Linked DNA regions of Neurospora crassa OR74A. The protein of the gene in region 2 interacts with the protein of the main gene of each other region in a biochemical or structural test. Links are inferred from orthologs where the notes say so. Each region holds a gene or a part of one and is shown on either strand. Other genes may lie near its edges. The genes, in order: ckb-1, NCU01447 and ckb-2.

Region 1 (10,538 bases), on a different chromosome or scaffold from region 2:
TCAGACCACGTGAGGGAGGAAGATACGTACCTAGGTACCTTTCATCAACCGATAAAGGTAGCTGGCTAGACCCAAACTGGTCCCTGGCTAGTCCCCCCCATATACTTTCGCTAAGTAAGCCCAGCCAGCCGCCCAGCCGCCCAGCCGCCCAGCCAGCACACCGTGCACATCGCTGCCCAACCCTCACCGGCGTCGCGCAATCTATTAACGACCGTTAGCCGTATACACAATTGAATGAAGCTATTATGAGACCTTACTCTATCGTTGCACAATTATTCTAAGCGATTATTCGTTATCTTTATTATTATATAATCGAATATCTTTAACTTTATAGTATTTGTTAATATACCGCCGCCCGCCCACCGTACGTCGTGTATTCGCCCAATAGGTTAAACTTCTTCCCAACCGATAAAAATAATTATATTTAACTGCAATTTAATAGATTTGCCCACTAAAATAACCCCTAGTCCGTTTCGGCTAATTACTCCTAACCGAAGCACAACCCCCCTTACCGAAATCCAATCGTTATTAATCCGCCGCTACAAATTAAAATTAAAAATATAATTACTGTTATCCCTTAATAAATATACTAATCCGCTAGCGAAACTACTATTTACCTCCTCTAATTATAATAATATAATTACTACCTTTAACGCATTATAAAATTACTATGTATAGTAAGGCTTTATAGTAATATTCCGAAGTAATACGAAGAGTAAAAAGAGGGGGGATAAGGGTATAATTATTTGTATTAACTACTATTATATATATAGGCGCGTTTATAAAGCAATTAAGCAAAGCGTTTATAATACTATATTAAAGAAATTCAATTACTTATATTAAGTAAAAATTATATTGAGGAAGAAGTAAGGTAGTTAGTAATTCGCCGAAGAGATTAATAACCGCTATAACTACTATATTAATATCACTAACTTTACTAATAATATTATATATTAATAATAGGTACGCCGCTATTATAAAGATACTATTAATACCGCTATCGAAAAGCTATTTAGTATTACTAGAATAAACTCTCATTAAATTACTTATTATTTGAACGGCACCCTCAATATTAAAGAAGAAGATTTCGCCGCTATTTAAATTATAGATCGTAATAGTCTAGTAATTGAGTTATGCAGTCTCCGGGTCCCTATTACTACCTAGGAGGTTTTAAATATCCAAAAGGGTATTCGTTATATAAAATATAATCCTTATACTTCAATAAAAATATTTATTAACCTTCTAAAGTAATATAAGAACCTCTATAACATTAAATACTTTATTAATTATAACCCCCTCTTTCCTAACTAGCAAAGGGTATCGCGGGTCTTTTAAACATTCAACTAATATATTTAAATATAGAAGTAAAATCCCTATATATTACTAGTAGATAATACGTATAAAGTAAGTAATCTATATACTATTATATAGGAAACCGACTTTTTTTTATAAAATCGATTTCTTTAAAAAAAACCGATTTTATAAAAAAAAGTCGATTTTATAAAAAAAAGTCAATTTCCCACTATAATATACTATAGTACAATTAATTAACTATATCTCTATATAGGTAAACCGCTTCAACCTTCCCCTCCTTAACGTTACTAACATCGATATATTAAATTATAACTTTAATATTACCTTTAATCTCTCGAACGGAGAAAGATAAAAAGACTTCTAGTAGTAGCTTAATTATTTAAAGAAATTTTAAAAGGATTATAAAATTCTTAATCCCGTAGTACTTATTACCGACTTCGACCGAGGATTTAAAAAGGCCGCTATTATAATATACCTAAACGTACTTTACTAACTCTACGTATAATATATTATAAAGAACATAAACTACTATATTAAAAAAAAGTAAATTCAATTAAGTAGTACTAAACTAATCCCGGCCGTTAATATATTAAATCCCCCGCTAACTACCCGGGATTTAGATAGCCGTAGCCCCAATCCCCCATTTTATATTACTCTAATTAATAATAATAGTAATAATATCAATATTAATAAACACACCGACAATAACCCTAATAAAGAAGACCCGGAAGAGGCTAACAATACTACTACTACTAACCGCTTTACTTAATAATATAATAATAAATAAGGGGTTTGTAAAGTAGTTAATAAACCGCTAATTAAAGCCGTCGCTCTACAATATTGTAATATACTAGCTTTTAACCCTATTTGTCGGTTTTATTAAAATATATACAAGGGATTTTAAATTAGGTAGAAGTAAGTAGTATATATTAATAATAAGGATTACTTTAAACGGATATAGTATTTACTATACTATGAATTTAAAAAACAGACTTATAAATTAATATATTATATTACCCCTATTATTTCTACTATAAACTATATTCTTTTTTCACCCACCGTCTTTATTTATTCAATTAACGACCTTTTATTATAATTCTACTAGCTTACTTCTATAAATATTACTTACTATAGATTAATAAGTATAGTAACTACATAGTATTGAAGCTTAGAAATTATAGTATCCGGGTAAATAGTAGAATCGAATTTTCATATAAAATTATTAAGTACTTACTTAAAAATCAATTCTCCTTTTTAAATTAATTATATAAATATATACAAACTTCGTACCGCTTTTAACGAGAGAGATTCAAATTGAGATTTGTAAAAGCGAAGTAGTCTTATTTCTATAAATATAAAAGAGTAGGGATATTTAACAATTTAATATTAAAAGTACATTAATTACACTCCTTTTATTATTACCCTTATATATAAAGGTTTATATAATTAACCTCCTTTTTTTTATTTATAGGTAGCGCCGTATACCCTCAAACTTCTATAGTACTAATACTACTACATATATAACAATTAGTTTAAAAACCTAATTTAAAACCTAAATACCAATTATAAAAAAGTATTTACAATTTAGTACGGCTTACCCTACAAATATTTTATATGAAGATTATTATAGATAGATCCCCTAATATTATTAATAATAAGGAATATAAATATATACTAGTAATTGAAATTAAATAGGCGTACTAAATTAATAGAGGTTAAATAATACGCCTATGCAATCTAAAACCCTACTATATTACTTAATCGCCAATAATAAATAATTATCCCCGATCTAAACCTTATAGATTATATACGTAGAGTATCGGAATATAACTTTATAAATCCGGAGGTTTATAAACTATATAATTTTAAAGGTAATTAAGGATTGTCCGCCTAACCCATTAACCCCATATTTATCAACCGTAACCAGTATAATAACTACTATATATTCTCTTATAATAAACCGCCCTACCGGGTAATATAGTAAAATACTTAGAGAAGGGGGAGGGCGCTAATATTTATATTTCGCTACTATAGTAAAAGTAAAGGAGGAGGAGGTATTTAACGAGCGGTAACGTAGGAGTTAATAGGAGAGGGCCTTACGCGGGTAGATTTAGAAGTATTTATTTAGAACTTTATAGAAAGTATTATATTATAGCAAATATTAATATTAAAAATACCGCTAGCTCCCTTACCTTCGCTTTTTTACCCCCCAACTCCCTTATAGAGAACTCTAACACCCTCTCTATCTCCTTATCCCTAAGTTTAATAATAGCCGCTAATTTAGTAATAGCCATCTTATAACTATATACTAACTCCTACCGGCCCTAATTAATTCAATTATAAATTATTAGCTTCTATTAAATAGCTGCCTTAATACTAGGATAGTCCGCCACCTTCTAACTAATAATAAGGGGAGGGATAGGTTATACTAGCAATATAGTATAAGCGAATTCCAGCCCCTATAGCACTACCTCTAATATTTCTAGTATATTTATAGGGATATAATATAGGGGTTCTCCAATACTCTAGGTAGTACTTTGGATAGTATTTATACAACGGGTATTAAAATTAGGGTAGGCACGTACACTCTAACTCTAGGCAATAAGTATAGTATTAGAACTAGCAAAGAGGACAGTAGTATTACTAGCAACTATAGTATTAACCGCCTTAGTAGTAGATTATTAGGATAATTAACTAGATTAACGATTTTTGAATACCCTTATATAAAAAAGAATAACGTAAAAGACGTAGATCTAGTAATGCGCGGGCATCGGTTACGTGGCCTCTATTGTATGTGTGTACTGGCTGGGCGGCTGGGCGGCTGGCTGGGCTTACTCAGCGAAAGTATGTGGGGGGGACTAGCCAGGGACCAGTTTGGGTCTAGCCAGCTACCTTTTGCGTTCATCAACCATCACCAAATGGACCCTTTACTTATCTTGGTTCCACCTGATAAAGTAGACGGTTGGGTTCCGACGCGCTGCCGCACGCGCATGTGGCAGGGCTCAGCAGGGTTATGTGAGAAGGCGCAAAAATCAGGCATCATACTACCGTGGGGCTGGGCGCGGGGCTGCTCCCTGCGGGAAGGGTTGAACGAGGAGGATTGGGAAGGGCCCAGACTGAAAAGACGGGGCGCGCCGCACAGACCAGACACCCACGAGTGGGCTGTAGCACGAAATGAGGGCGCGGGCTTCTTCTCGAGCAACCCCAAAAGGCAAACAGACTGAGCCATCGAGTCGACGGCCTCCGTTAGCGCAAACTCCAAAAACAGCACAGGAAGGGAACCACCAACCACCTCCTTCGCTGCAACACCACGTAGACAATCATTGAAGCGCCTAGCTATTCTGTCTGTCCTTTCGTCCATCTATTTGCGCCATCTCATGCGCTCGGTCATGTCTACGCAATAAACAATTGAACCCTTCCATCCAGCATCGCAGATGAGCGTCGACCCCAAGGGACACTAGCTATACCCAGTCGTCGTCTTGCGCCTTTCGATCGCACTCATCAGATAACGTCCGATAGCGGTACCAACAGCCTCATCGAACGCCTACTCCGTCGCCAAACACTCGAATCGTTTCGCGTCGCTTCCATATCCAATTCCACCATGTCGAGCTCGTCGGGCGTTCCAGAGTCATGGATCGCATCTTTCTGCTCCCTCCTGGGACACGAGTATTTTGCCGAAGTGTCAGAAGAATTCATCGAAGATGACTTCAACCTTACTGGCCTGCAGACCCAGGTCGCCATGTACAAGGAGGCTCTCGAGGTATGCTTGTTCTGGAACCTTTTTGTCCGTTACGTCAGCAGCTAATCATTGTGGTTTTAACCTGACTAGATGATCCTTGATGTCGAGCCCGAGGACGATGATGACGAGGAGGAGGAGGACGAGGAGGACGAGGAAGACATGTCCGGTGGCGACGGCATCAACAAGCCCCACGGCGAAAGGAGACATCACAGCCGCATCGCGAGCGATCTTTCTGTGATCGAGTCCTCGGCCGAGATGCTGTACGGTCTGATCCATCAGCGCTTCATCTGCTCGCGGGCGGGTATCCAGCAAATGTCGGAAAAATACGAGCTCGGTCACTTCGGCATCTGCCCACGCACAAACTGCAACCAGACCCGCACGCTGCCCGTCGGCCTCTCGGACACGCCCGGCGAAGACACGGTTAAGCTGTTCTGCCCGTCTTGCTTGGACGTCTACGTACCGCCAAACAGCCGCTTCCAGACGGTGGACGGCGCCTTCTTCGGCCGCACCTTTGGCGCGCTCTTCCTCATGACCTTCCCCGAATACGACTTGACCAAGACCGGCGCTGAGAGCGTTAGCAATCTCACACGATCCGGCTCTGACGACACCACCGTCATTAACGGCATGTACGCGCGCAACATAGCGCCGGGGCTGGGCAGGGGCAAGATTTACCAGCCCAAGATCTACGGGTTCAAGGTGTCAGAAATCGCGCGTTCCGGGCCACGCATGCAGTGGTTGCGCAGCAAGCCTGACGACTTGAGCGTGCTGGACGAGGCTCGTCGCTATGCGGAACAACAAGGGTCGGATGACGAGGACGAGAGCATGGGTGTGAGCAGCAGGACAGCTTCGAGGCGGCGGGGGCCTCCTAGGAGGCAAAAGCAGAACGGGAGTCCGATGGCGATCGAACAGAATGGGGCTGAGTCGGAGCTTTGAGGTCGAAGTTGTAGGCTGGAACTTGGGTTTAAATGGATATTGAAAGGGGAGGATCAGGTTTTGTAGGTAAGGAGTAAGGAATTGTGTGCGCAAGCATCTGGACAACGGACTGTTGATCACTTCTTTTTTACATCTTCCTCTAAACCTGGCATTGATTTGTATCACACGCACAAATATCCTTTGGGCTTTCTTTCTGATTCTCTACGTCATGGCGGGGGAATGGACGGACGGGTTCAGGAATCGGTTACAGTAGCTTGCAAGAGCGCTTTTTGGTTGGGTTGGGGTTCTTCTTTTTTCTTTTCCTTTTTCTATATCAAGGTTGATTTTCTCTTACACAGCGAACTCGGACGTAAATTCGCATTCCAATGATGATTGCATGCCGGTTATAGACGATGAGAGGAGGACGCAATATTGTTCGTTCCTCTTGTGGTTTACCCGTCAGTTCGCAACGCAGTTTTAAATTAAATCATCTTGGTTTTTCCACTTCACTACCACCCCCTACGCGGAGGAACCCCTTCTGACCATGGTAGCTACATTCCAAGATAGGTATTTTTGTTGCTGGCAAATATGGGTCCGTCATAAGCCGGTCATACGGGAAGACTCTGTCAGTAACATGACCATCGGATTACTCCATCCTTTTATCTATGACCTTTTTTGTTTCTTCCTTTTTTTCATTTTCTTTTTCTCTTCCAACTCCCCCCCCCCCCCCCCCCCCCCCGACCTACAATTCTTGTCTTTCTTCAACAGTCTTGTTGACTATTCTCTCGATGCCATACTGTCATGCTGACTCACGCAGATCTTAGCCTGTCTTCTTCCTATACTGCGGCTACCGAATTTTGGGATGTGAATTTACAAAATACCTACCAATCAGGAAAATGGGTTCACATCTCACAAGCGTATGTTACCAATCTCATCAGCCTGATGCAAAGAACGACCGACGACGAATATACAAGCTATATTAGTATTGACAGAAGAAGACAAAGTAAACAGATTGTGATTGTTGTTGAAGACAGAGATGGATATGCCAATTTATTCGAGGAGTGACAGATACTCAAGTTGCTATGTACCTTGCCCGAATCTTCGGGCCCGGCTCCTGCCTCTCCGTAACGACGTGAAAAAAAAGATTGTGATATTAGACTTTGGGACATCTAATGTTACTGCTACTGTATACGAGTGAGAAATGCGCAAATAGGCTACGGTGTGACTCCAACTCCGCATTTCAAGTGTTTTGCACTGTCGATGCCCCGTTGTAGGTAGTCCCGGGACGGGGAACGTTGCGGTTCCGTCCACTCCACTTCTCCGGTCGGTCGGTCGGTCGGTCAGTCGGTCGGTCGGCGGAAACCCCACTTGTTTCCCTCCGCCACCCCGTGCCCGGGGGAGAGGGGGCCGAGATGATGACGAGCAATGATAAGCTTCCGTCACTAACAGTTTACATACTGGTTGTCACAAGAGTCTGGGGTGCTCCCTCCCGAACGGCAAGTGTCGCGAAATTGCATGCTCCTCTTTTGTTGCGACGTACCAACGGTACAGTGCAAGAGATGTATTTTTTTTTATATATATATATTTTTTTTTTTAATTTTTTTTTTTTTTTTTTTTAAGAGCTGGGGAGAAGTTATAACTCTTCGTGATATGAGCGCTCCGGCCATGGGGAGGATGAAGAAATGGCTGGCTGACTGACTTCCATGATCGATGTCAATCACATAGGTAGGTATGTAGCTGATAATCGCGGCGATCAACGGCGAACGCTCGGTATCTTCATTTCTTGACGATAAATCTTATCGTCCTTGACCACAACCGCCATTCGGCAGAACATGGATCTTCAAGGTATTCGATACGATACCGGTGTTTGTAGGAAGACGAACAGAACCACAGAGAAAGGAGTGAGCAACCAAATACAACGATGAGGCAAGGAAACCGATGTTGGATTTGTAATCCAGGAAGAACAAACATTAACACAACATGGGGATACATATTAAGGCAGAACCGCGGATGACGGCATGTAACCCATGAGAAAGCTGAGGCGGAGAAGGTTACCTTTGGGGATGCGAAGGATGGTGTCCCCACAGGAGACTCCAAACCTCGTTGGTCCTGTCTCCGGTTCGCGGTTGGGTATGACATATAAAAAGAAGAAAAAAGAATTGCTGAAAATAAAGAGAAACTAACGGGCTGGACAAGACCGTGGGGAAAACCTTAATCGGATGGTTGGCGATATGCGGTGCGTGTGGGACGTAGCGTATCATATCGACGGTGAACTAGACATAGGTATTCAAATAACGAAGTGAAATACCGTGGTACAAGACACGCCACCAGATCCCTACATGTAAGGTGATACAACTAAAACGTTGAAGCAGGTATGCACTTGCCGTCCTGTACCTATGTGTGATGCACAGAATGTACTATATCTTGGTCGATTTGTAGATGGCGTTGTCTGGTTGAGATGGCTTTGCTGCACATGCAAGCGGCATGAATGGACACGTTGATGAGTGGGGTCAAGTCAACTAGGCAACACAATCATGCTGGGTACGTGATATGTAAATATCATAATGATTCATTGTGGTCAACAAGGGAGGGTGGAGGAGACACGATACGGTCAGAGAAACTACGACTAGAAAAGAGCGGTCATTCGAGTCACTCGCCGACTTAAGTTGCACTTGTCATGACCCCTCCTCACTCTTTTGAGTTGGCCGATCACCGAGCTTCCAGAGCGATAACTACTCTTGAGGGTATATACCTAACCATCACTGGACGACTTGTCTGGAAAAGAAATGGGTACCTCGCTGTAGTGTATCACTCTGGACACGAGAAAAGCACATGGTAGTGTTTCGGGACCACACCCTTCACGCCCACCGGGAAGGATTCCAGTTGATATTGACCAATGGCATGCCGTATTTGTAGCTCCACCGTCCCCCACAAGTCGTCGACAATCGACATCCTCGCTGCTCACCAAATGCAGTGTGTGATAGGGTACGTACCGCGGGGGTTCAGAGCCTCCCAGAATATCTTGGCGATTGAAAGAATTTAGATTGTTTTCGGCACCATTTCCATTCTTTTGTGTCTTTCCCCGGAGACCCCTCGTCTTGAAGGTTGACGAGATGGCCATCATCTCCACGTTGCTACGAAGAGCTGGGGGAAGTACGTGCTCGTGGAAAATGGACCGGATAGGTAGGTAGGTAACCTGGTAGACCAGAGAAAGGCGGTGATGTGCCGATAACATCTGGTCATGGACCTGACATGGATTCCCTCTTCCACTTTTGTCAGTGAAAGAATGGTGCAGTAAGGACCCCTGTAACTGCATCCTCCAGGAGCCAGATATTGCATAAGTTAACATGTGTGCGTGCTATTTGGTGCCCAGAATTCCCTACTCTGAGTTACATGCTGTTTCAGGGGATTCCACTGTATCAGAGTTTGCTTCTGGAAGGATGTACCTGCCCCAACTAATGTACATAGTTGTACACTGCAGTAGTGTGAGCTGGTGGAGCCTCCAACGAGAGGGTCGGTTAGGGAAAGGTCGACAAAGACGGGGAGGCGTCCCGTTGATCCAACGGCTTTTGACATCAACCACCAATCAACTATGCCGTTGTTTTTTTTTGAATTTTCTCATCGGGTACACTTAACAGTCAGCACCTAGTTTCGTCACAATACCGTTCGAAAATGAAGAAAGAAAAACAAGAAAGAAAACAGACCACAACGAATTTGCGGAGTTCGGCAGAATGTCCCCTCTGCTTGCATGGCTGGCTCGGCTGGTACCTGAGCAAGTCGACGTCGATTGGAGCTTCTATCCGCCAAGAAGCGCCGATGGCACTGCAATCCCCCTTTGCCATCCAGGCTCCCCCGGCCGTGTTGGTTTCCTGTCACCGGAAAGAAACCTAGCACGCCGAACTAGCAGAAACAACCCTTGCCCGCTATATGGGCGACATGGTGTTCCCACACTCAATCGCCTGTGCAGTCTTAGCAAGAGGTGTGTGTGCGTGCACACACACACACACCGCATTTGACAAATCTGGCCATTTGACATCGCTTTACACGACTCAACTCAATTATTTAACATCGAAATCTAGCCAAAACTAGTGCAAAAAGTCGATATTTTAATGCTCTACGTCGTGCAATTATCTATTTTAATATTTATATTATCTTTTAAACCGTTATCAATATAGTACACTACCCCAATACCCGCTAGAAGGTATTAATAATAATAATACTAATAAATAACGAATATCCTAATAACATTACTAAAACTATTAGTATAAATATAAGGAGTACGTAGAAATATAAATATATTTTATCGGATATTAGCAAAATATTTTTACTATTATAAGCTTCCTAGAATATTAAAAAGCTTCCTATATAGGCGCTTAAAGTATAATATATACTATATTACTCCCTATACTTTATTAATTATAACTAATATTATAAAGGAAATTATAAACCTCCTTATATTGAAACTTAATTTATACTTCAACGAAATCTATACCTTTCTAGCCAACGAATATAATGTATACATTTCAACCGAGACTATATAGTAGTACCTTTAATAGGAGAAGTAGAAGAAGAA
Region 2 (10,538 bases):
TGGTTGTCAGCAAAGAGCTGGATCAATTTTTCTAGCTGCGGTCCCGGGGTACCCCCTTTTGTATCAAGAGACTTCCCAGCTGGTGGGTAATAGACGCAAAAGTTAATCATAACACCGAGCATCATGATGAGAGATTCATAAACTTTAGACAGGAAAGCATCAGCCTGCATGGAATTCAAGACAACGTCAAAGGCAACGCATGCCGAATGCGCTAGGTTCTGGAGAAGTCCCTTGTTGACAAGCGTTCCCGAGGCGTCGTGGTTGTGATTAGTCATGTTAAGCGTAATCCTGAGGGCGAGGCTCTCTAGGTCGTTGAACTTGTCCGCAGGCCGGGTCAAGGTAGTCTCCAGCACATCAGCCGCAATCGGCACGTACTGAGTCGTCCATTTAGGGCTGAGGTGAGACTGCATGGCGTAGATGGAATGGCCTTCTAGAACATACAGGGCGAGGAAGAAATCGATGGATGCTTGCTCTTTCGGGAACTCCCAGCAGGCCTGGTCGGATGTGCCAGCGGCCAAAATCGAAAAGAGTTGATCGGTCACTTTCGAGGAGAAAACTTCGAACTCGTCCGACATTTGGGTTGACTGTCGCATAATCAAGTCCAGACATTTAAGTGCGAGCGTTCTGGGAGATACAAGCTTAGGCAAGGCAGTTTCCCATACCGGAAGCTTTAGTAGAGAGGCCTTGATTGTCCCCAGTGTTGTTTGGCCGTTCCTCGACACATTCTGCTTCCTCTCTTTCGCCAACTGGACTATATCTCTTGGCTCGCCAAGGAGTCGCTCAATAAGAGCGGCGAAGCCCTGAGCCTTCAGCTGTTGGAGTAGCAGGGTTGAAGCCGAAGTGGCCAGCATGTTCGCAACAACTGCTGCGATTGCAAAGCCAGAAATGAGGTCCGCCTCTTTATCTAGCGACTTGAACATATCATCGGCGCCGCCATGATTGCGAAGCTGTGACCGAAACGACTTTTCATTCGTTTTCTGAGCAAGCTCGAACAAAGCGCCTCTTCGTAATGAGGAAGGCTTTTCCGATGGCGGACCTACTCTATCGAGAATATCCTCAATCTCGTCCGCGAAACGGCTGTTAGCACCGGCTTGTCGCAGTTCGTGGATACTCCGAACGGCTCCTGTATTGACTGTCTCGTCTTCCTCGTCCATAAACGAGAAGGCGTCCAGAGCAGCACTTTTGGTCAGGCGACCAATGTTAAAGAGTGCACCCCCCGACAAGCTATCATCCAACCCCATCCCGCCCAATCCACCGCCGTCAAACAGCGGGTCGTTTTCGGCCAACATTGACCTTTGTTGCGTATACGTGAACTTGGGCCCGGATTTCTTGGTTGCAAGTATTGGGCGAGCAAGTCGCTTTGACGGTGTCATGGTTGAGGGATTCGGGGAGCTTGGATCCTGGAACTTGGGGGATTGTTTGCCTTGAGGGCTTTCTAGCAGTGGAGGATTGCCATCTTCATCGGAGGAACTGTCTTCTTCCTTTTGGGCTACCAAAGCATCGATCAAGCGTTTCCGCCGTGGTGGCGCGGCAGTGACAGAGGTTTCTGTTTGTGGCTGGGGAGAGGGATTCCTTTGCACGGGCAAAGGCAGCGGTTTCGGTTTGGTTGACGAAAGTCGGAGCGGGATTTGATGCTTCGTTGCGGCATGCGTTGGAATCGACCGGGAAGAGAAAGCATCCGTCATCTTGACATCTTTAACAGGTGTATTGATGGCCTTTTGCTGCAACTTCGCCTTCGGTAGTGTTTTTGCAACCTGTTCGTTCGAAGCATCGACAGGTGTTTCTGTGCCATATGGCGATGAATTGGGAGTCGAGTATGGTCCTGCCAGTACGTCTGTCTGTTCCGAATATGTCCGAGTGATCTTCCTCTTCTTTGCCCTCGCGTCATCCTCGCCGGTTTCGATGCTCCCTGGCAGTGGCTGGCTATGCGACTCGTCGTGTAGCCTTGGATGGCTGGTCCGGCCATATTTCTGTTGAGTTGATAACCTACCTCTGTTGCTAGAGCTAGTGGTACGAGATACGGCAGGTCCCGGCGAGCTTGGTGGCGATGGAGATGTGCGGGTAGCAGTCACAGGGGCTTTCGTTATGATGTCTTCCTCGCTCTGATTTGTCTTGACGGAAATAGAGGATGCGCTCCTATTTATGGAGATCGAGGAAGTCGAAGCTTCCACTCGCCTTCTCGTAGCTTTGCCGTATGTGGTCACGCGCTTCTTGGGCGGAAAGTCGTAATCACTGAGGCTGGCCATTGTGCTGACTGTGGCCGAGCAAGAGAACGGAGCGCTGGTTGATGGATAGCTTTGACAGCGATGGATATGTATGTCAATCGGGTATACGGGCGCCGGAATCGTATCAGAGCAACATGCGGGAAACTATCGCAAGTTCGGCGGCTGAAGGTCGAGTAGTCGGTCAATGGCAGTTCCGGTTAAGTAAACGTGTTGTTGGCGGCGTAGTCACCAAAGCGCGGGTGGAAGTCCGATGCGCGCAGCTCGTCTAAGGCATACCGCGATTGTGACGGCGAAGGGGAGCTGGAGGCATGAGCTTATAAGTTCGGAACGAGATGGTTGCTATTGTCGTGGTTAGTGTTGGCTGAAGCGATTCCGCGGTGTTTGCTGCGGTGTGGTTGAGGCGATTGAGTTGCGCTTCCCGTCCTTCCGTCCCGCGTAGGTTCAGTCCAATGTTTTGGAAATGGAAGAAGTCGAAGTGGAAACGGGTGTCATTGTTGCGAAGAACCCCACAATATCTTGCTTCCGTCTGTCACGGTGCCTGCCCTGTGGCCCTGTGTCATCAGTGCGTGGTTCACTGCAGTGCGGTGCGCGTGCAAGGGCGGCGGCAGGGGCAAAGGCAGGACAAGGTTCTTAGCACAGTGACCCTGCAGATGGTGGTCTGTGCTTGCCGTTCCCCTCGAGACACCCGCTCCTCTTTTTCTGCATTTCCGAAAAGAGCCTTTTGATGTTATCGTCCCGTCTCATTGTTTACACATACAAACCTTTATCTCTAGATTCGACTGGTAGAATTGTAAAGCGCGGATATCGGCACCGCATTGTTGACGACGAAAACACGTGGGGGTTGCCAAGTCTCTCAACTTCTTGCAGTAGGTGAACTTTTCATCCCATCAATGCTTCCTACCTTGATGGCTCCCACTGGACGGCCTTCGGTGTCTGCCGCCCGCCGCCCGTTGGAGCTCTCGCGGGCTCACGGCGGGCACGGCGGGGTTCCAGGTCGCAGGATCCAGCTGGACTCCAAGAGCGTTTCCACGGTTTCCACTTCCACTTGGACGACTCAGGTCGGACAACCCTGAGAAGCGGGCAGGGATCGGTCCAGAACTGAAGCCTTTCGCAAATGCAGTACTTTTTTCTGATCTGACAATCGCTCAAGGTCCCAAAGTTCCCCTTTCTTGTCCTAGTTCCCGCATCCCGCCACGATCCTCTTCCGGTAAACGGAGAAGCCCAGTCAAATAGTAAGTACACACGCGACCAACTAGGCAAGGCGCCAATTCCTGTCCCCGTTGACACTCTGCGACGCCGAGTTCCACCGTTTATCAGCTCTGCAAGTGGGAGGGGTTTGGTGGGACCGTTGTTGATACATGGTTGGGCGCAGATCTAGTAGAGTCTACTGATCTTCCTCGAATCTGGGGGTGGCAGTTTGCGCCGCCTCGTCTTCCCATTTGGTCGCGCTCAATCCCAATCACGAACCCTCATATTCAATCTGTTTGTCATATGTCTGCTCCTGGCTTACAGATAGGCTGTTACCTTTGCCCCAGGATCCTCTTTTAAGAAGCATCTGATCCGCCCCCCCTCCTCCACGAACACTTGCGCGAGACACTATCTTTCTTTACATTGACCACACATCACCTACACGAAACGATTCGCAGAGTATCCGTTCTCACGACTTCGGCACTTAGTCCATCCTCCTATACCTACCTCACCCAACCAAGTCAACATGTCTACCGCCTCCGAGATCGCGCCCACCAAGTGCGTGGGCCCCGATTACCGCGCCGAGGAGCAGAAGCCCACCGCCACCGTCTCGACCGCCGTCAACTTCGACAACGTCACCGTTCTCTCTCAAACTCCCCAGCTCATCGCTCTCCTCAGGTGCGTTTGCTTGCCTCGAGTTGCCTTCCAGACTGCTGTCCGCCAGACGCTGACCTCGGTGGTTACAATACAGCATTATCCGTGACAAGCGGACCGACCGCGGCGACTTCATCTTCTACTCCAACAGAATCATCCGTCTCCTCGTCGAGGAGGGCCTCAACCACCTCCCCACCGTCGAGCACCCCGTTACCACCCCCGTCGGCCGCATATACGATGGTTTGGCGTTTCAGGGCAAGATCTGCGGTGTCTCCATCATGCGCGCCGGAGAGGCCATGGAGCAGGGTCTGAGAGACTGCTGCCGCTCCGTTAGAATCGGCAAGATCCTTATTCAGAGAGACGAGGAGACTGCGCAGCCCAAGCTCTTCTACGATAAGCTTCCCGAGGACATTGCCGACCGCTGGGTCCTTCTCCTCGATCCAATGTTCGCCACTGGTAAGTCTAGGATCTGGGGGAGAACCAAGTGCGCCTTGTGGCTGGGGTTTCCACGGCTAACATGTGCTTTCTGTGCAGGCGGATCTGCCATTATGGCCGTCGAGGTGTTGAAGTCCAGGGGAGTTCCAGAAGAGCGGATTATCTTCCTCAACATTTTGGCTAGTCCCGAGGGCATCAGCAACTTTGCTTCCAAGTTCCCCAAGCTCCGGACGGTAACTGCTTTTGTCGACCAAGGCCTCGATGACAAGAAGTGTGTTTTCCGTTCCGTTCCGCCTCATGTTGGTCGCTGAGAAGATGATGAGATTTGAGACTGACTCTAATTGCTATAGTTACATTATCCCTGGTCTCGGTGACTTCGGCGATCGCTATTACTCCATGTAAAGTGTGAAGGGGCGTAGGTAGATCGTTGATTGTGATGACTTCCTGGCGGTGGGGATCGACTTTGGGAAATGGCGTTATCTGAGAGGACTTTTTGATGCCAAGCGTAGTAATGGAATACCCACTCTGGAAAAATTCAACAAAACGAGTTCGTGCGGCTTCGTTCGTCGAAATAAAACTGGCATCGAGATTCGGCTCGGCTTCGCCTATCGTGTTGATGATGATAATGACCCTTAATAAACCTTTCGCTCAGTCAACCATGACCCCATGAGATATTGGACAGAAAAGAAAAAGAAACAGCCAGCCGGCTACGCGGACGTAACGCAACGTCGAATCGCCGATGTCTTTTAGTCGTAGTCATCGTCATCAACCTCAACACCGGATCCGCCATAGCCTCTATCGTCATCCTCATCATCTTCGTCGATATCGGCAGCTCTCCGGCTTGACGCCGCTGGCCGCCCACCCGTCGACCGGCTGTTCGAGTAAGATGCTGCTTTTGCGCTTGCCTCGGCTTCTTGGGCAACAGCGTCTGTTTGGTCCAAGTCAATGACAAGCTCTAACATGGCAAGGGCAAGGCCATATGCTTGCTTACCTGCAGCGTCTACCCAAGCACTATAGACATCTACCGCAGCATCGAGGTCTACATCGTAGTTGTGAAGTCAGCACTCCTCTGCTTCTCTTGTTTCTGTGTGTATATCCAAGGGTTGGCTGAGCTAGTCTTACAGTTTACAGGGCATTGGAACTTTTGGCCGCAGATTTTGCAGTCGAGGTAGCCAACGCCGGCCTTCTTGTCGAGCTTGACGATGACGGATCGTTCGTGGTTGCAGAACAGGCATGTGAAGACAGTGGGAAGGGGGTCGTTCTAGTTAAGAGGGGGGTGAACAGGTTAGCGCTTTGGTGATATCAAGGGCAAGGTGAAGAAAGCGTATAATATGACTGGATGGGTGGAAGGGTACAATGTAGATGGGGTTCCAGTAGTAGTGAGTGTTGTGTATGATATGGGAAGATGGTGCTCGGGGGTGCAGAATGTCTAAAAAAGCTTATCGGGCAATGACGTCTTTGGTGGTATCCAGAGGCGCGCGCAACGGACAAAACTACGCGATCATCTCTTGGGTTTGGTGAATGGAAAAAGTAGAGGTCGAGATATGCACATACCCTCCTGGGGCCCTGCGGCTTTCTTGACGACTTTTTGCGCTTGCCCATTGTGAAGTTGCCGTGATGGTTGTTGTTGTTTGGATGTTGTAGGTGGTGGGTTTGTTCAAGTTTGTTGAAATGGCACCGGGGCGTGTCAAGTTCGGTTGCGGTCACTAAGTACTGCAGGTGCGCGGCCGGCAGCGCTGAAGATAACCTATCGATGATTCGCGTCGCAATGGAAAAACCCTTGGTGCTTCTGGCGCACGCGCTGCAGATCGGATTGCTGGAAAAATGCCGGTGAATGGAAAAGGGGAAGAGCACGTCGGTCGTTGAGAGAATGGAGGCGTGTGCTACTTTACTCAGCACGTGCCTGATGGGTGACTCCTTGCAGGCAAAAGTTGGTGGTTACCTATTGAGGTGTTGATATTTTTGCGACTACACTAGTTCTAGGTAGTTTCTGCACCTTCATGGAGGCGTCGCTGACAGCAACCGCCAAAAAGTTTGGCTCCATCCCCGTCCAGTCCCCCGGTAGGGTAAGGTCACTCAGTGTTGCCTGCCCCACCACGACTCTCACCGTTCTCACCAAGGTGAGTCCCTCGGACGCCGCGCGCGTGATGGCTGTGGGCTCTATGGTTTTACAAACCCAAAGCTTGATAAGATTATTCACGTAGCCTGGTGCAATGGCTCGTGCACATGATGACAGGACAGGGCTGACTTTCAGGTTTCACACTTCCACTTGCAACTCAAGGCGGGGGCCTTGGCGTGGGGCCCGCCAATTTGATCCCCACCTTGCCCCACAAAATACCTCCCCCAGCTTTGGGAGGATCGACTACATATCGAGCGGGGACTGGTGATTGGACAAATCTGGCATTTGACATCCAAGCACCCGCCATCCAGAGTTCGGACCTGTCGAGATACTGTAATCAAGGCGTCCTGTTCGATAAGACGACCACCCCGCTTATCATCGTTGCTGATGGCCTTGGCCCGAGATAGGTTCCCTTGTGAGCAGCAGGGCAGCGTTATCGAATTCGTGAACACCGGTACCTTGCTTGATTTCTCGCGCAACTTGCAAGCGGTAGTATCCGATGGTGATGACAGCTCTCCCCGGTACCGGCACCAACCATTTCGATGTTGGGAGTTCTTTACTGAGCGGTAACCATACATACTACTTGCATCGCGGTGTCAACAATCACTTACAATCCATACACCCCCATGTTGTTTCTGTTGTGATGAACACAGGGCCTGCACTTTCCCTACACTATGCGGGACCTCTCCAGTGTCGTTCCTTTTCTGCTTACACAATGACTACCTCTACTAACAAGGGACCACCTAAACTGCATAGTACATACGGTACATACCGCTTCCACTTGGAACTGGCGGGAAGGGAACTGGGGGACAGGGCGCGCTCGTCTCCGAGATCCGCAGCCACGGCACTCGATCCGATTGCGGTACCCCGCCGCCGGCGTCCGTTGTGGGGAGCATGGTTGACCCAAAAAGTGGCAGCCCAGCATGCTACTCCAGTCTACCTACAGGGATCGAGGATGCGCTACGGGCATGCCACACACACCCTGTTATCGATCAGCTGGCTATCTTGCTTGGTAACGTTGGTCAGTAACACGCTCCGCGTCCGGTGATTGCCCGAGACGCAACTTGTACCGACTCTTGTTACGTGTTGCAAACCATCGAGTGGTCGATGGCCAAAGACATCCTCTTATCACGAGGGGGCCTTCGGTGGCTTCGGGCAACTTAGGTACGGTATGCCCCTGGCGACGGCGAGTGCATGTACACTACGAGCTGGAAGAGGAGAGGTTGGATGGCCAAGTGGAAGCATTAGTCCTATGTCCACTTCCTCCGGGAACGTCGATAACTACCATGTTATAACTGGCCCTCGTGTCGCCCGACTGACTGACTGTCTCTCTCAAGGTTGCTCCAGATTCCCATCGTCTTCAGTATCTTCGTCTGTTTGTTCCTGACGTTGCCTCCATCCCGTCCCTTTGTCTCCCGTCTGTTAAACCACTACTAGAATCTATCTCTTTTATCATCATCTTTGCCTACTAGATACTGCCCTTCCTCCCCCATTTGCCCCAACAGTCAGACCTGGTTACAATGGCTACAGGTCTGGAAGGTGTGCAGGATGCCTTGCTGGCCATCGCCCAAGGCCAAACGAAGCTCATCTCGGCGGTTGAATCCATCTCTCAACGTGTGAGCAGCTTGGAGAAGACTCGCGAAACCTCGTCGAAACCCAACGGCGAAGCTCCAAACCCAGTCACCACCCCGCTCGTTTCCGGCTATGTCCAGACGCCACCGCTCTTGCAGGCGGATGCCGGCACCATGTCACCATCATCTCCGCCCGCCGATGTCACAAAGTCCAACTTCTCAAACCGCGTCGTGCTCACGACCTATCCCAAGCAGATCGGCATCAACCCTCTACCGATGGAATGGGGTGCGGCCGATCCCGTGAAGCGTGGCCCGGTAGCTGTCATCCGATCTGGCTCGACCATCCGCAGACGTAACGCCATTGGTGCCCACGGTGGTTCATACTCGATTTACTACGCGCTGGCTCTGGCGAGTAAGGAGCTGGATCCAGACCACAAGCCTGACTTCACCAACACCGAGCCCGCCGTCAACATTGGCCCTTTCCCTCAATGGGGAGATCCCAAGAAGATTGTAGCCATGGATCCTTGGGGCCATCAGGTTCCTTGGATCTTCAAGGATCTCATGGATAAGGAGGGTGGTACGTACTTTCACATGTTGTTGTTATTGTTGTTGTTGTCTATAATCCCTATTTGCATATGATGGAAACTGACACTGGCTATCGACAGTTGATCTCCGGCCGACAATTGCGATCACGAAAGCCCATATGAAGCTGCCTGAGCTTGAAGAGAGTGTTAAGAGCGGCAGATTGGTTCCAGATGGCAAGATCTGCTTGAACAGCCTCGGTGAACTTGCAGTAACCAAGTTTGCCGTCGAGCCTGTTTGGTACCTCCCCGGAGTTGCCGAACGGTTCGGTATTGATGAGGGCACATTGCGCAGATCCCTCTTCGAGCATACGGGTGGCATGTATCCCGAGGTAATTGGCGCCGCTGGATTATAGCACTTTTACGGACAGACGATGCTGATACAATAGCCAGTTAATTACGCGCTCCGATATCAAGGTCTTCCTGCCCCCTATCGGTAAGAATCATCAGCTGTGTATCCCGTCATGGTGTGGTGTTACAGATTCCTAACCGTCTCTTCCTAGGTGGTTTGACCGTGTACTGCTTCGGCGATCCCGCGAAGATGTCAGACCCTTCGAAGAAACTTGCGTTGAGGATACACGACGAGGTAGGCTCTCGTTCTCATGGAATGTCTTGTCTCTCGAACACATCTTTCACTGCTGACACAGCCACCTTCTATGTAGTGTAACGGTAGTGATGTTTTCTGTTCCGATATCTGCACTTGCAGACCTTACCTCATCTTCGGTATTGAGGAGGCCGTCAAGGAGGCTCAGAATGGCGGTAGCGGCGTGGTAATCTATTTCCGTAAGGAAGGTCGTGCCCTGGGCGAAGTCACAAAGGTTTGTGTTCCAAAACTCTGCTCATGAAGACTAAATGCTAATCCAGCGTCACAGTATCGTATGTTGAGTTCCTAGTTGATCCTTACCTCGTCCCATACAGGGGATTTCGTTTCGTGGGTGAGAGACTAACCGGGAACCTTTTACAGTTGTGTACAACGCGAGAAAGCGCGGGGCAGATCTTGCATCGGACTATTTCAAGCGCACCGAAAACATTGCCGGTGTAAAGGATATGCGATTCCAAGCCCTGATGCCTGATATTCTTCATTGGCTGGGTATTACCAAGATTGACCGAATGCTTAGCATGAGCAAGTGAGTAACACCACACCCCTCTCCTCCCCTACTGCGCGCGCTCTCCTTGCCTTGTGGGAGGTATCACCGATCCTCGATCTAATGCATGGTCACTTTCTAGCATGAAACACGACGCCATCGTCGGCCAAGGGTGAGTTAGCATTTTCTGTTCAACTATGTGGTGTGCCGTTGTGCTCGGGTCTTGCTGCATAACCTGCACCTGTGGTGAGCCGGCGATCTTTTGCTTGATGGATGCTAACCTTCCGCACAGTATCCCTATTCTAGAGCGTGTTGAGCTCCCCGAAAGCTGGATTCCAGCCGATTCGAGAGTAGAGATCGATGCCAAGATCAACGCCGGTATGTTTGTCCCACTTACTCTTCCAATGTTTCTGTGGAGAAAGGCAGATTAACCGACGAGGATTCGTTGTTATGTAGGATACTTCACGACAGGTCACAGAATGACGGAAGAAGAACTCAAAGCGGTGCAAGGTCGGATATGGGAAGAGTAAGTTATCCCTCTTCAAAAGTCGCTCATTATCGAATCGAAGAAACTCGAGGCTAACGTAACCACAGCATCGACCACTAGAAGTAACAACCCCACGGAGGATACGACGCACAAAGGAGTTTGGTCATGGATTGTAGAGAGATTATTCGGGCAG
Region 3 (10,538 bases), on a different chromosome or scaffold from region 2:
TTTCTCCTTGGGGTACACCTGTAAGTCATGCCCCTTTATTTCCTTCCTTCCTCTGAACAGACGCCTTACCCTCTTTTTCTGTAGGCCAAAGGTGGTTACAAGACTCGCAGAAAGTCCAACGTCAACAAGTGGGTGGTTACCCCCCGGGTCCGCAACATGGGAGTCCGGAGGAACAAGAAGACTACATGAATAAAATAACCCACTGTGCTCAACTTGGGCTATATACCCACCATCTTGTACAATATGTAGTGAAACTTATTCATTTGCTCGCAGGCCGGCAGTTCGAGGGCTCAGTATATCACCGGAAGGATGCCATGTGTGGGTATTGGGCCCAATAACATCGTCTGTTGGAGATCTGCCGTGTTTGTCTTTGTTTTCCACTTTCAACTGAGCAACTCTACGGCGATGTGGTTCAGGGCCCGGCCAAGGCCGTGACTGTGCCTATAAATCGGCATACGACTTCAGGAATGTACCAAAGACTACACATGGGGTTTGTTAGACTCCGTTGTCATATACCGACCCCAACTTAACAAATTTTTTATTGATTTATTTACTTATAAAATTTGTTTAATTTTCCTAAAAAAATTAAAAAATTTTTTTTTCCCTTTTTTTTTTTTTTTTTTTTTTTTTTTTTTTTTTTTTTTTTTTTTTTTTTGCGTTGATTATAGACAACAGACTACAATGAAAGAAACTGAAGGCGTTTGGTCATTGGAGTCGGTCGAGTTGTCCAATCACATTTTGCGTTCATCTCTTCTGCAAGGAGCAGAATAACAATGCCGTCCCCCTTCGCCCTTTCAGATCTGCTACCGGTTCTGTGAACGCCATCCTGAAAAAAAAAAAAAAATAGGGGCGTAAATAGCCGCGTGGGTAGACCTGAGCGCAGCGAGATTTATATGCATTCCAGCGGTGGTATCTTTACAGTGGTTGACTGTGTAAGGGCATATCACGACAGCGTCTCGGTATGCGCCCGCAATTCGGCCATACATACAACGCCATGAAGGAACGAGGGTCGACAAAAGGCAAGCATAGTCTCATCTCCATAGAGGTATACCACAAGATCAACGGGGGTGATGAGTACACTATTTGAAGCGTCTCTTCGGTGGTTTGGGCAGAGTTTAAGGTTTACGCCATTCTTTTAGTGTACATACTATTTCACAACGTTTCGCTCGTTCAGGGCAGTCCCCTTTGTACTTCTGGAGATTGAATGGGATCGATGGAATCGGTAGTTGTACATTAACTAGTAAGGAAAACTGAGTGCGCCACCATGTCTGGTACCTCACGACCCCGACAGGTCGGCACAATAAATATATACCTAGGTACCTAGGGTACATCGTACTTCTCTGCGGTGCTTCTCACCCTACACTAAATGAGTTAAGATGCACTAACATGGAAAAGCTGGGGAGTAGGTAGGTACCTATGGTTGCCCCCATACATACCTCATCCATGTCGGGTAGCGTTAGAGGTACGCGGGACTGGGGTTCCACTTGGCTAGGGGCCACTGCCTAAACCACCCCCCTGAATGATCTAGATTTCCAGGTTGTTACAAGATCGTTGGTTTCGGTTGTAACCTCAACCGGCATGCCACCGAGGAAGCTGCCATTCTCTTGTTTCCCATCCGCTCTTGACCGAATAACTCGTTCACCCTCGATAATCTCGTTTTCACATTGGTTTTCTTCTCTTCGCTTCATTTAAACTTGGTTATAACTGTTCTCATTCTTTCTGAGCCGCCGTTACGGGACTCACTGCATCGCCGCTGGGAGTACTTATTGTCGACCTGTCAACTGACTTCAAGCAGATGGGAGGAGTGCGGACTGCGGGGACCAAGCAAAAATGTATGTAGTGTACCTAGTGCAGAAACAGGCATGGGGAATCTATGTTAGCGTTACACGTGCGGTCTTAGAAAGAGGCTTAGACGTCTTGGGTAGGAAATCGTGGACGCTGATCGCTGGGTGAAACTCATTTTCTGTCAGACCGACAGGTTCGATACAAGAATGAACTGTTCAACCTCTGCCGTGCTCTGCACACTCATTACATGCACGCGCCAGGTCTCCGGCTTCACGTACATACTGCGTACTCCCGTCACGACATCTTTGTGCTAGTCCGGCTAGGTTGTAGGCTAGGTACTAGTACTTAGTTTCCCCAAAATATCATCTCGGTTCCCAACCACTGCAGCCCATAGGTTTGTATTAGCCTGGTCACACCTCTTGTCGCTTCACCCTTACATTCAGCTGCGGCTTGCGCCTATTGAAACATCCTCCTATTACCTACCCACGCTACTCTTTCCGGCTGGCAAACGCGACCAGGCGGACTGCTAAACGGACTGGACGCAATCTGACCCAAACTTGCGCTTCCGATCTCTCATCTTGCCGTCCCTTTTTTGCTCGAGGTTCTCTCTCCCATCCGACCACCCCTCGGATTCTCCTTAGGTCCTCATGCCCGACGATTCAGAAGACCTCCTCATCCCTCCAGCACATGCTCGCTCGATTTCACCATCGCATACCGGCTATACACCACCAACTTCGACGACGCTGATGATGGACAATCTCAGGCACACCCGAGCTGGTGGGCTAAAGAGGAAGAGAGGAGGATGGGTGGTGGTAGTCTCGTATGTCTTTGACTGGGTCATTATTGCTGTTGCCGGAGTCATTGGCTATATTTTTGGGGCTAAAACCCCAAACAAGAGACCTTTCTCACTTTACGATCCCAATATCTCGTATGTGAAATCAAACAGTTTTTCCTGACAGTTTCTGCTTGATCCATTCAATGGATGTGATGCTAAGAGGTACAAACTCTCCAGATTCCCCTTTACAGTAAAGGAAACTGTGCCCGTCTGGCTGGCAACATGCATCAGCGTGATCGCCCCCATCTTCTTCATTGCCGTCATCTCGCTGATATTCGTCCCTGGCGCTACCGTACCTCGGGGCACGCCGAAGGCCTTGATTTGGAAGCGAAAGCTATGGGAACTGCATATCGGCTGGCTGGGGTTGGCTCTGTCGATAGCGTCAGCCTGGCTGATCACGAATGGCATGAAGAACCTTTACGGAAAGCCGCGACCGGATCTTCTTTCGAGATGCCAGCCCGATCTCGCCAATGTCGCCAAGTATATCGTTGGAGGTTATGCTAATACCAGCATGAATGGGCACCTGGTCAGCGCAAATATCTGCATGAATCCAGACAAGGCCAAGCTGGATGATGGGTTCAGGAGTTACCCCAGCGGTCACTCCAGCTCCGCAGCAGCTGGTGAGGACCGACCAGTTCCTACCTAAAGCAGACACTGCTTGGTAGTTGAGAACATGATTTACTGATTAACTGACATTCCACCAGGTCTCATCTATCTCTCACTTTTCATCGCCAGCAAGTTCGCCATCACAATTCCCTTCCTCGCCTCCGGCACGAATGTCGATGCCGCCTCTTTCTCCGCCTTTCCCTCGCGGACTCGCCACAACACCGCCATGTCCGCGATGGGTGGGCCCGAATCGTACGAGATGGCCCCGCGGGGCCCCGCAAGCTCGGGGGGCGGACGGACCTACACGGGCGGCAGCATCGGCGCGGCCGAGGAGAAGCGTCTTGCGCGACACACGCGCGCCGTGGCCGCCGTACGCCTTCAGGCTGCCGCGCCGCCGCTCTACCTGCTGCTGATCTGTATCATCCCGTGGTTCGCGTCCATCTTTATCGCCAGTTCGCGCTGGTTCGACTTCCGCCACCACGGCTTCGACATCCTGTTCGGCTACCTCATCGGCTTGATCTGTGCCTTCTTCTCGTTCCGCTACTACCATCTGCCCATTTCGCAAGGTGCTGGGTGGGCTTGGGGTCCGCGCAGTCGCGACAAGGCGTTCTGGGCAGGTGTCGGCAGTTACAGCTACTCAACTGATCACAACGTCGGCGAGTATTATCGCGCGGGAGACGAGGAGGAGGCGCTGAGTCCGGATTCTTTAGATCACGGCAGCAGCTATGGGCACCCCGTGGTACGGGCCAATGGCACCGGTTTGGAAAGCAATGTGGGACCGGACCAGCCCGGTGGGATCATCACGGGGAGGAAACCACCGTCGCTTGACGTTGATCAATGAGAACAGGTTGACACAGCTTACAGAGACGGGTAAATGACGATCAGATATGAAAGGCAAATTTCGACGCATTGTCGGATCAGAAGAGTCAAGGTGCATTTTCCGGAAGTAGGGACTTGGCCCGGATGGGTGGGCTTGATGACAAAAGCGATTATTTCTCTAAACGAGGAAATATGAGGAACAACAAATGGTTTTATGTCACCAACATGGGTTTTGGTACAGTCTCTCTTATGTTCAGGAGGCGTTTTGAGATAGGGAAATGAGGAACCTATCCATATGTACACATATCTACCTGGTAACTCTTCAAGGGAAGTTTGAGCACACTGGTCTTCGGCATTAATCAACGTGTTTATGCTGTGGTAACAGTTCATGTATTTGAAAGGTTCGTGTTGCCGCATGACACCGCTTGTGAATCTTTCCTCAGTAGACGCTTGGATATATGGTCTGGTCGTTTTGAATTTTCACGCTCCAAGAGACTGCCTTTCAAGCGTTAAGTTCAACTTCCCGTCGATTTGACGATTGGTTTTTAGGAGGCTTGAAACAGAGAAGGGTGCAGTTCAGCACAGACGAAGAGAAGCAAAGCCGGCAAGGTGAGAAGAAATCGTCTGGTAAGAACCGAAAAGACGTATAGCTAGACCAAAGAACATAAACACTCTATCAATGGCTCTCTCTCCCTTATTCGCATCGATCCCGACGTCCGCTGTGTAGAGGCTTATGGGGTGCGGGAATAGAAACAAAAAAACAAAGAGAAGAGAGGCACCTGTACTCATACTTTGTTACTCGATACTGTATGGTATATGCATTCCACCACCTCAAAAGTCAAAAGATCCCGTACCTCGCCTGTTCCATCCACTCATCGAACTCCACTTCAGCCTGCTCTTCATAGTCCTCCCCTAGCCTGAGACTCCGTCGCAGCCTTGCAGCAGCAGACATGAGAGGTGTCAACCAATGGTTCGGCTCGTTTGGCTCGTTTGGTAGCTCAGCTTCATCGTCAGCTTCGTCGGCGGCTCCAATCGTGGCTTCTGAATTCCAATACTCTTCATCCGCTTCTCCACCAGTAGCAGCAGGCCCTTTCTAATGAACGCCTTCACCGCCGGCAGCAACGCCTCCCGTTGCTGTACCTGCCGCCGCCGCCGCATGTTGCTGTTGGGCACCTTCAGCCTCATCCATAGCAGCCAGCTCCTCCTCTTCCTCCTCTTCCTCCTCCTCCTCCTCGTCATCATCGTCAAGCTCAGCCTCGTCCTCGGCGTCCTTGAACCCGCTCTCGACCTCGAGCTTCCTCAGCCGCCTACGCATCTCGTCCCGCTGGCTGTTCTGCCAGCGCACCAGAGCGGCAGCGGCGTGCACCTTGAAGCCGTAGCAGCGCGGAATGTAGCGCTCGACGCTCTTGGCGGGCACCAGGGTCGGGTATACCTGAAAGAAGATGTTGTGGAACGAGGTGCCGAAGTAGGCGCCGTCAATGGCGGCGTGGCGCGACGACTTGGGGTTGTAAATATCCTCGCAACGCGCGCAGTACAGCTTCACCGGCTTGGAGTTGGGCACGTCCGAGAGACCCATGGGCAGCAGAGGGTGCGAGGAACACATGACGCGCGGGCACTTGCCAAAGTCGGCTTTTTTGTACTTTTCGAACTGTTGGTGGGAAGTGCGTTAGTCACGGATGAAGACGAGGAGACGCTGGATGAAGATGGAATGCTGAGAGTTGATTACTGACCATTTTTTGAAGACCCCGCGTTGTGACAATGTATCGAGCATGGACAAGACCGTACAGGTGCCTAGCAGACTTCTCTATTGTTTCCCGCATGTCGTCATCGCAGTCGAGGTCGAAGACATCGGTGATGAGATCGAGAGCATATTGGTAGTACTGGACCTCAGTGTTGAGACCAGTTAGATTGAACCTATCAGTGATGTAGTCCTCGTCAATTTCGCAAAAGTACTCATTGCCTCGCGAGGAAATAAACTGCAGGCGGACGCGCAAATGTCAGCATGATTGGGGAACCTTTACTGTAGTAAACAATAACAACAATTGCAAGAGAAGCATACCCAGTCGCGCCAATAGCTGGCATAGTCGCTCTCAGACTCGCTCACAAAGTCATCCATGGCCGGCGACACCACGTCTATACTCGGCGCATAAAAGGAAGGGAGGAAGGTGGTGGTGGGAGGAAAGTGGGCGCGAACGACCGTCGGCTGGCGCTTCGCATCAACGAGGCCAAAATCCCGGGTGCCGGGGTCAAGTACGGCGTTTGAACCTTTTGTTGGGCCGAACTAATGCGCGCCGGGCCGTAGATGGGGAGTGGGAGGTCCGAGTCGGATGAGATTGAGCTGGCACAAGGCACAATGACGACAAGACGTTGGAGAGGATTGTGATGCTTTTTTGCGACGGTTTGATGGGAGTTCAGGTGGAAGAGGGTTCAAAGCCGTCCCTGGTGCAGGGCAACGGCAGGGCAGGCGAGGGGGTCTGGACTCTAGACCGGGAGCCAAACAGGCTGACAGTCCATGACAAGGGACTTTTTTTTTTGGTGGGGGGTTCATCGCCGTTGCAGTGGTCCCCGCAGGGCAGGTTGCAGTGCCCCCCCGCCCCTGGCTCATCGCAGTCTGTTTATCAGCAGTCCCGACCTACCCAGGGCACTACACAGAGGTAGGTTATCAGGTCTGCAAAATCGACCATCTGACTACCTAAGTACCTACCTAGGTAGGTAGGTAGGTAGCGGGCGGGTACCTTTCGTCGGCCTTCAGTCAGCCCAACGGCCCAGCGTATGACTTTAATTGTACGTTCACAGGTACTGGGGATGGAAGCATGTACTCTGTCATTAAGGTAGGTATTCTATTGGGCGTCATGACGTTCAGTGCTACAGTTTGTGCCTTATTTTTGAGCAGGTATATTGTTGGAGACGGAAAACCCAAAAAAAATATATATAAATAAATAAAAATGGGGGATAAGAACGCCAGTCGCCTGTGATTATAGCTGTTCTAGATTATCTTGAAACATCCCGGCTTCTATAACATCTGTGTTGCCCTACAGCATGTGTCTAGAGCTCAAGACCCCCGCTTCATCATAAAGTGACGTTCTGGTAGGATCGTGAGCGCCACGGCTATGGATATCCAACAATCCTACAACCAACTATCCGCTTTCCAATTTCCATCCACTTCATTAACCTTCGTACCGATTAGCACTGACAACGCTGCCGGCGTCGCTGATTGTGCGCCTGTCAGCATCCCAGTCACTACCTATGATCCCCTTGGTATTGGAAATCAATGAGCTGGTAGTGCTGGAAGCACCGTTAGCACCACCACCCTGAGGAACTCCAAGCATTGTGCCCAGCCCGCTGCCTACGCTGCCATGGCCATCCTCCAGCTCACTTTCCTGCTTCACTCGCATCTTGGCCAGCTCCATTGCTTCACGCAGCGTGTCCCCCGTTTCATCGAGCGCTGCTAAAAACCGCGCCAGCTCTTTGCATAGCTCCCAGTCGCCCTCGCGCATTGCTCTGCTTAAGAGACGCACACTCTGCTCGCTTGCTGTTGCGAGTTCGTCAAAGGTATGGAGGATGAGTAAGTAGCCGCCAGCAGTCTTGAGGCTCCCACGCTGCAAGCTCTCCTCAAACAGCTCCTGAGGTGGAGGGAGATAGGCGAACAGAGTACGCCAGGAACGCACTTCCGTCTTGCGGGTACACTGCACCACAATGTCCAAGTACTGCTTGAACGATGAGAGAAGTGACAGCACGCGTGGGAGGATGGCATGTTCTGGAGCAGGCGGAGGATGGGCATCCACCTCTTCGTCCAGGACATGGTGCAGAAGTATTTCCAGTCCATGCGCAAAGTACTCAAGGTGCTCATATTGCTGAGCTAACCGCAACGCCTCAATCGGTCTGTTATTACTAAGGTAGAACCGCAGTATATCGGGTAGAAAGAGGTGCGTCTGGGATTGTTAGCAGGAAATTCTTGTAACTGCCACGCATTCTGATCGAGGGGCTTACCCGTATCGAGAAACGGAAGAAGGAGAAGCTGACATCGCGGCGCTGGATAAGATCGGACTCCACGCCAAGTACTATGGCTTTGCTGAGAAGAGCGGATAGGGGATAAAAGTCGATAGGGATTGATGTCATGGGTGGAAGCTCTCTCGTGGCTTCTCCAGAGGTGGCCCTCAAAACTGGCTCGACATCCGTCCAGGTCTTGATTTCACTACCATCAAAGATCCATAGCGAATTACGTAAACTGTCGTCAGCCGCAGCCGTAAAGACCTGCTTTTCGGAAGGTGTCAGGACGCCGCCCACAAATGGCTGGTCCCTCATGCTAACGTAGAATTCGAGGTTGTTCGCAATAACGCGCATATCGTATTTGAGACCGCCTTCATTGTATGAGGGCCGAAGGAGGACCAGCTTGCCATCAACCAAGAACAAGACAGAAGCATGAGCCACGTCTTGGGATGGGTCTCCGTCTAAGAGCTGGCTCTCGGGCAAAATCCAGCTTAAACCTCGAACTCGTGCGGGTGATCGAATGATGCCATGGAAAGCTATGTGACCAACTTCCACCAGCCTAACGGTGCCACCAAATGGTGCAAATATGAAATGGTAAAGGAGGTTGTCGTAAGTATAAACGAGCAGCGAGTCTTCGCCAGAGGGAGTAACTAGGACAACGGGTGCCGACATCTCTTGGGTATGTAGCACGTTCGAGCTATCGAGGGATGCCTCCCGCGAGTAGAGACGGAGTTCGAAGCTTCTATTAGCCTCCACGGCAGCAACCAGGATGTTCTGGTACCAACACATGCCACCCTTTACCATAAATTGGTTCTCCGCGTCCCCATCCGCAAACGTCTTCCAGCGACTGCTGTTCACGCTATAGTGAGCCAAGCCTCTCCTGCCCGCAACTGCAACATATCGACCATCGCTGGAGATGGCAGTACACCTGATTGGCCAATGGTTCATAAGATAGCTGGCTGGTATTCTAGCTGTGTGCCACAGCCCAGGTTCGGCCGAGATCGAAGTAAGATCGGGAAGGTCATATCCCCTATAGACCATGACGCTGGAAGTGCTCTGAAGCACGGTCCTGAAGAGATTTGCAGAGTTGTAGCATCCGGTCACTGCGCTTCGTGCCATCTCTAGCAGCCATATCGATTCATGGGCTCGCCCGACAAGCAACAGTTCACAGCCACCTCCGATCCAGGCTGCATCCAGGACACCGGATATCCACTCTTCCCCGGTTGTGCTAGCAATGGTTTGATCGGCCCCAAAGCTGTTACTCAGTGGCTTGCCGTATACACTCCATGTTGCCCATCCCTTTTCGTAGCCAGCAAAAAGACAATAGCCATCGGGAGAGTAGCTAAGTGTTGTAAGTCTGCCACAAGTGTTATTTGAAGCTGGGAGGTTGTGGACGTGAGAAGCTGGAATGTTTCCAGAGTAATCTTTTGCAGAAAACACGCGAATGTTGCCATCTGCGCAGCCCACAGCAATGAGAGAGAAGACCGCGTTGACGATGCAACGTATGGCTTGTTCACCAGGTGTCTGCGGCGTATAAAAGCAATAGCCCTTGAAAAGCTTCTTTGGGTCGGGCGGCTGGTTGGTATCGGGTTCTAGTTGGCTGCCAGAGATGCGCTGGACAGCGTACGCTTTGCCGTCACTGGTCACCCATGTGGACAGGTTCATGCGCCTGTCGTGAGTCATCTCGCGAACCATGACCTTCTTGTCAACCCAGCCCATGCGGCTCAATAGCTCTGTGCTGGTCTGACTTCCGGAGCTGTCTGGGGTCCATCGGATGCATTGAACTGCCGCAGGTTTCCGCGTAGCCACCACCAACTCGTCGTCCAAAGCCAGAGCACTCTCAATGCCGGCGTCCACTTTGATAACCATGCGGAAACGAACGCTGACATCCCTAACTCCCGATCCCTCACCGGGGCCCCATAGTATTTGGTCGGGGGCTATGGCTCCCGGGCCGCCTGCGTGGGTTTGCCGCCGTTTCTGGACGTTGGTATGACTGGAAAAATGGGGTTTGTAGACTCGGGAGTCGGCATCGGTAGCCAGAGAGTAGGTGATCAGATAGCCCAGGCTTGTGCGCACGACAAATATGGCGGCGTCCGGACGCAGCATCAAGCTCGTGTTGGTACCGTAGGACTTGAGTGACGCCTCGGATCGAACAACAACAGCCAACACAACCGTTGGCTAACACATGAGTAAGCAGGGCGGAAATCCAAGGGGAGGGAGAAGGGAGTCATGCTGAGAGTCTACCTTTGTCTGCCAAATGGTCATTGATGTCGAGGTGATGACGGCGAACAAGTGGCCAGCTCTGGCAACTCGAAGAGCCAGTATTGGTTCCCTGGGCGGAGCATTGGAACGCGAGGGTTCTGGAGGAGGTGGAGATGGTGGTTCAGACTGCCCGTCATCGTAGTAGTCGTGCTCGACGGACTTGATGGCCGGTGTGAAAGGTGCTACCGGAGTGATCGGCGTAGGGGGGACACTCGAGGCATCGTGACCGTCGGCGGTGGGA

Evidence for each region.
Region 1: the proteins of NCU01447 (region 2) and ckb-1 form a complex in vitro, tested with the Saccharomyces cerevisiae proteins (2 studies listed by BioGRID). The link is inferred for Neurospora crassa OR74A from reciprocal best matches to the Saccharomyces cerevisiae genes ELF1 and CKB1.
Region 3: the proteins of NCU01447 (region 2) and ckb-2 form a complex in vitro, tested with the Saccharomyces cerevisiae proteins (2 studies listed by BioGRID). The link is inferred for Neurospora crassa OR74A from reciprocal best matches to the Saccharomyces cerevisiae genes ELF1 and CKB2.

The regions. Positions count from the first base shown.
Region 1 is NC_026506.1:1,756,228-1,766,765, forward strand, and holds ckb-1 (casein kinase II regulatory subunit), read left to right. Parts: upstream 1-4,482; 5' UTR 4,483-4,915; coding exon 4,916-5,074; intron 5,075-5,143; coding exon 5,144-5,986; 3' UTR 5,987-6,528; downstream 6,529-10,538. UniProt on the Saccharomyces cerevisiae protein: Regulatory subunit of casein kinase II/CK2.
Region 2 is NC_026505.1:4,706,004-4,716,541, reverse strand, and holds NCU01447 (hypothetical protein), read right to left. Parts: upstream 6,515-10,538; 5' UTR 6,105-6,514; coding exon 6,057-6,104; intron 5,764-6,056; coding exon 5,625-5,763; intron 5,542-5,624; coding exon 5,494-5,541; intron 5,431-5,493; coding exon 5,249-5,430; 3' UTR 4,905-5,248; coding exon of another isoform or gene 4,853-4,904; 3' UTR 4,774-4,852; coding exon of another isoform or gene 4,602-4,773; 3' UTR 4,524-4,601; coding exon of another isoform or gene 4,165-4,523; 3' UTR 4,092-4,164; coding exon of another isoform or gene 3,940-4,091; 3' UTR 3,648-3,939; downstream 1-3,647. Other genes in the region: NCU01445 (hypothetical protein), read right to left, coding at 1-2,246; NCU01446 (uracil phosphoribosyltransferase, variant 1), read left to right, coding at 3,940-4,091, 4,165-4,523, 4,602-4,773, 4,853-4,904; NCU01448 (hypothetical protein), read right to left, coding at 6,753-7,180, 7,233-7,256, 7,394-7,517; rib-3 (GTP cyclohydrolase II, variant), read left to right, coding at 8,142-8,769, 8,858-9,105, 9,167-9,209, 9,277-9,359, 9,436-9,591, 9,646-9,649, 9,738-9,900, 10,001-10,030 and 3 more. UniProt on the Saccharomyces cerevisiae protein: Transcription elongation factor implicated in the maintenance of proper chromatin structure in actively transcribed regions.
Region 3 is NC_026501.1:3,445,937-3,456,474, reverse strand, and holds ckb-2 (casein kinase II subunit beta-2), read right to left. Parts: upstream 6,536-10,538; 5' UTR 6,162-6,535; coding exon 6,105-6,161; intron 6,022-6,104; coding exon 5,776-6,021; intron 5,694-5,775; coding exon 5,139-5,693; 3' UTR 4,398-5,138; downstream 1-4,397. Other genes in the region: NCU02757 (mitochondrial 54S ribosomal protein RML2), read left to right, coding at 1-20, 85-189; NCU02755 (PAP2 domain-containing protein), read left to right, coding at 2,433-2,713, 2,798-3,240, 3,325-4,067; NCU11228 (DUF1339 domain-containing protein), read right to left, coding at 7,213-7,977, 8,036-10,213, 10,280-10,538. UniProt on the Saccharomyces cerevisiae protein: Regulatory subunit of casein kinase II/CK2.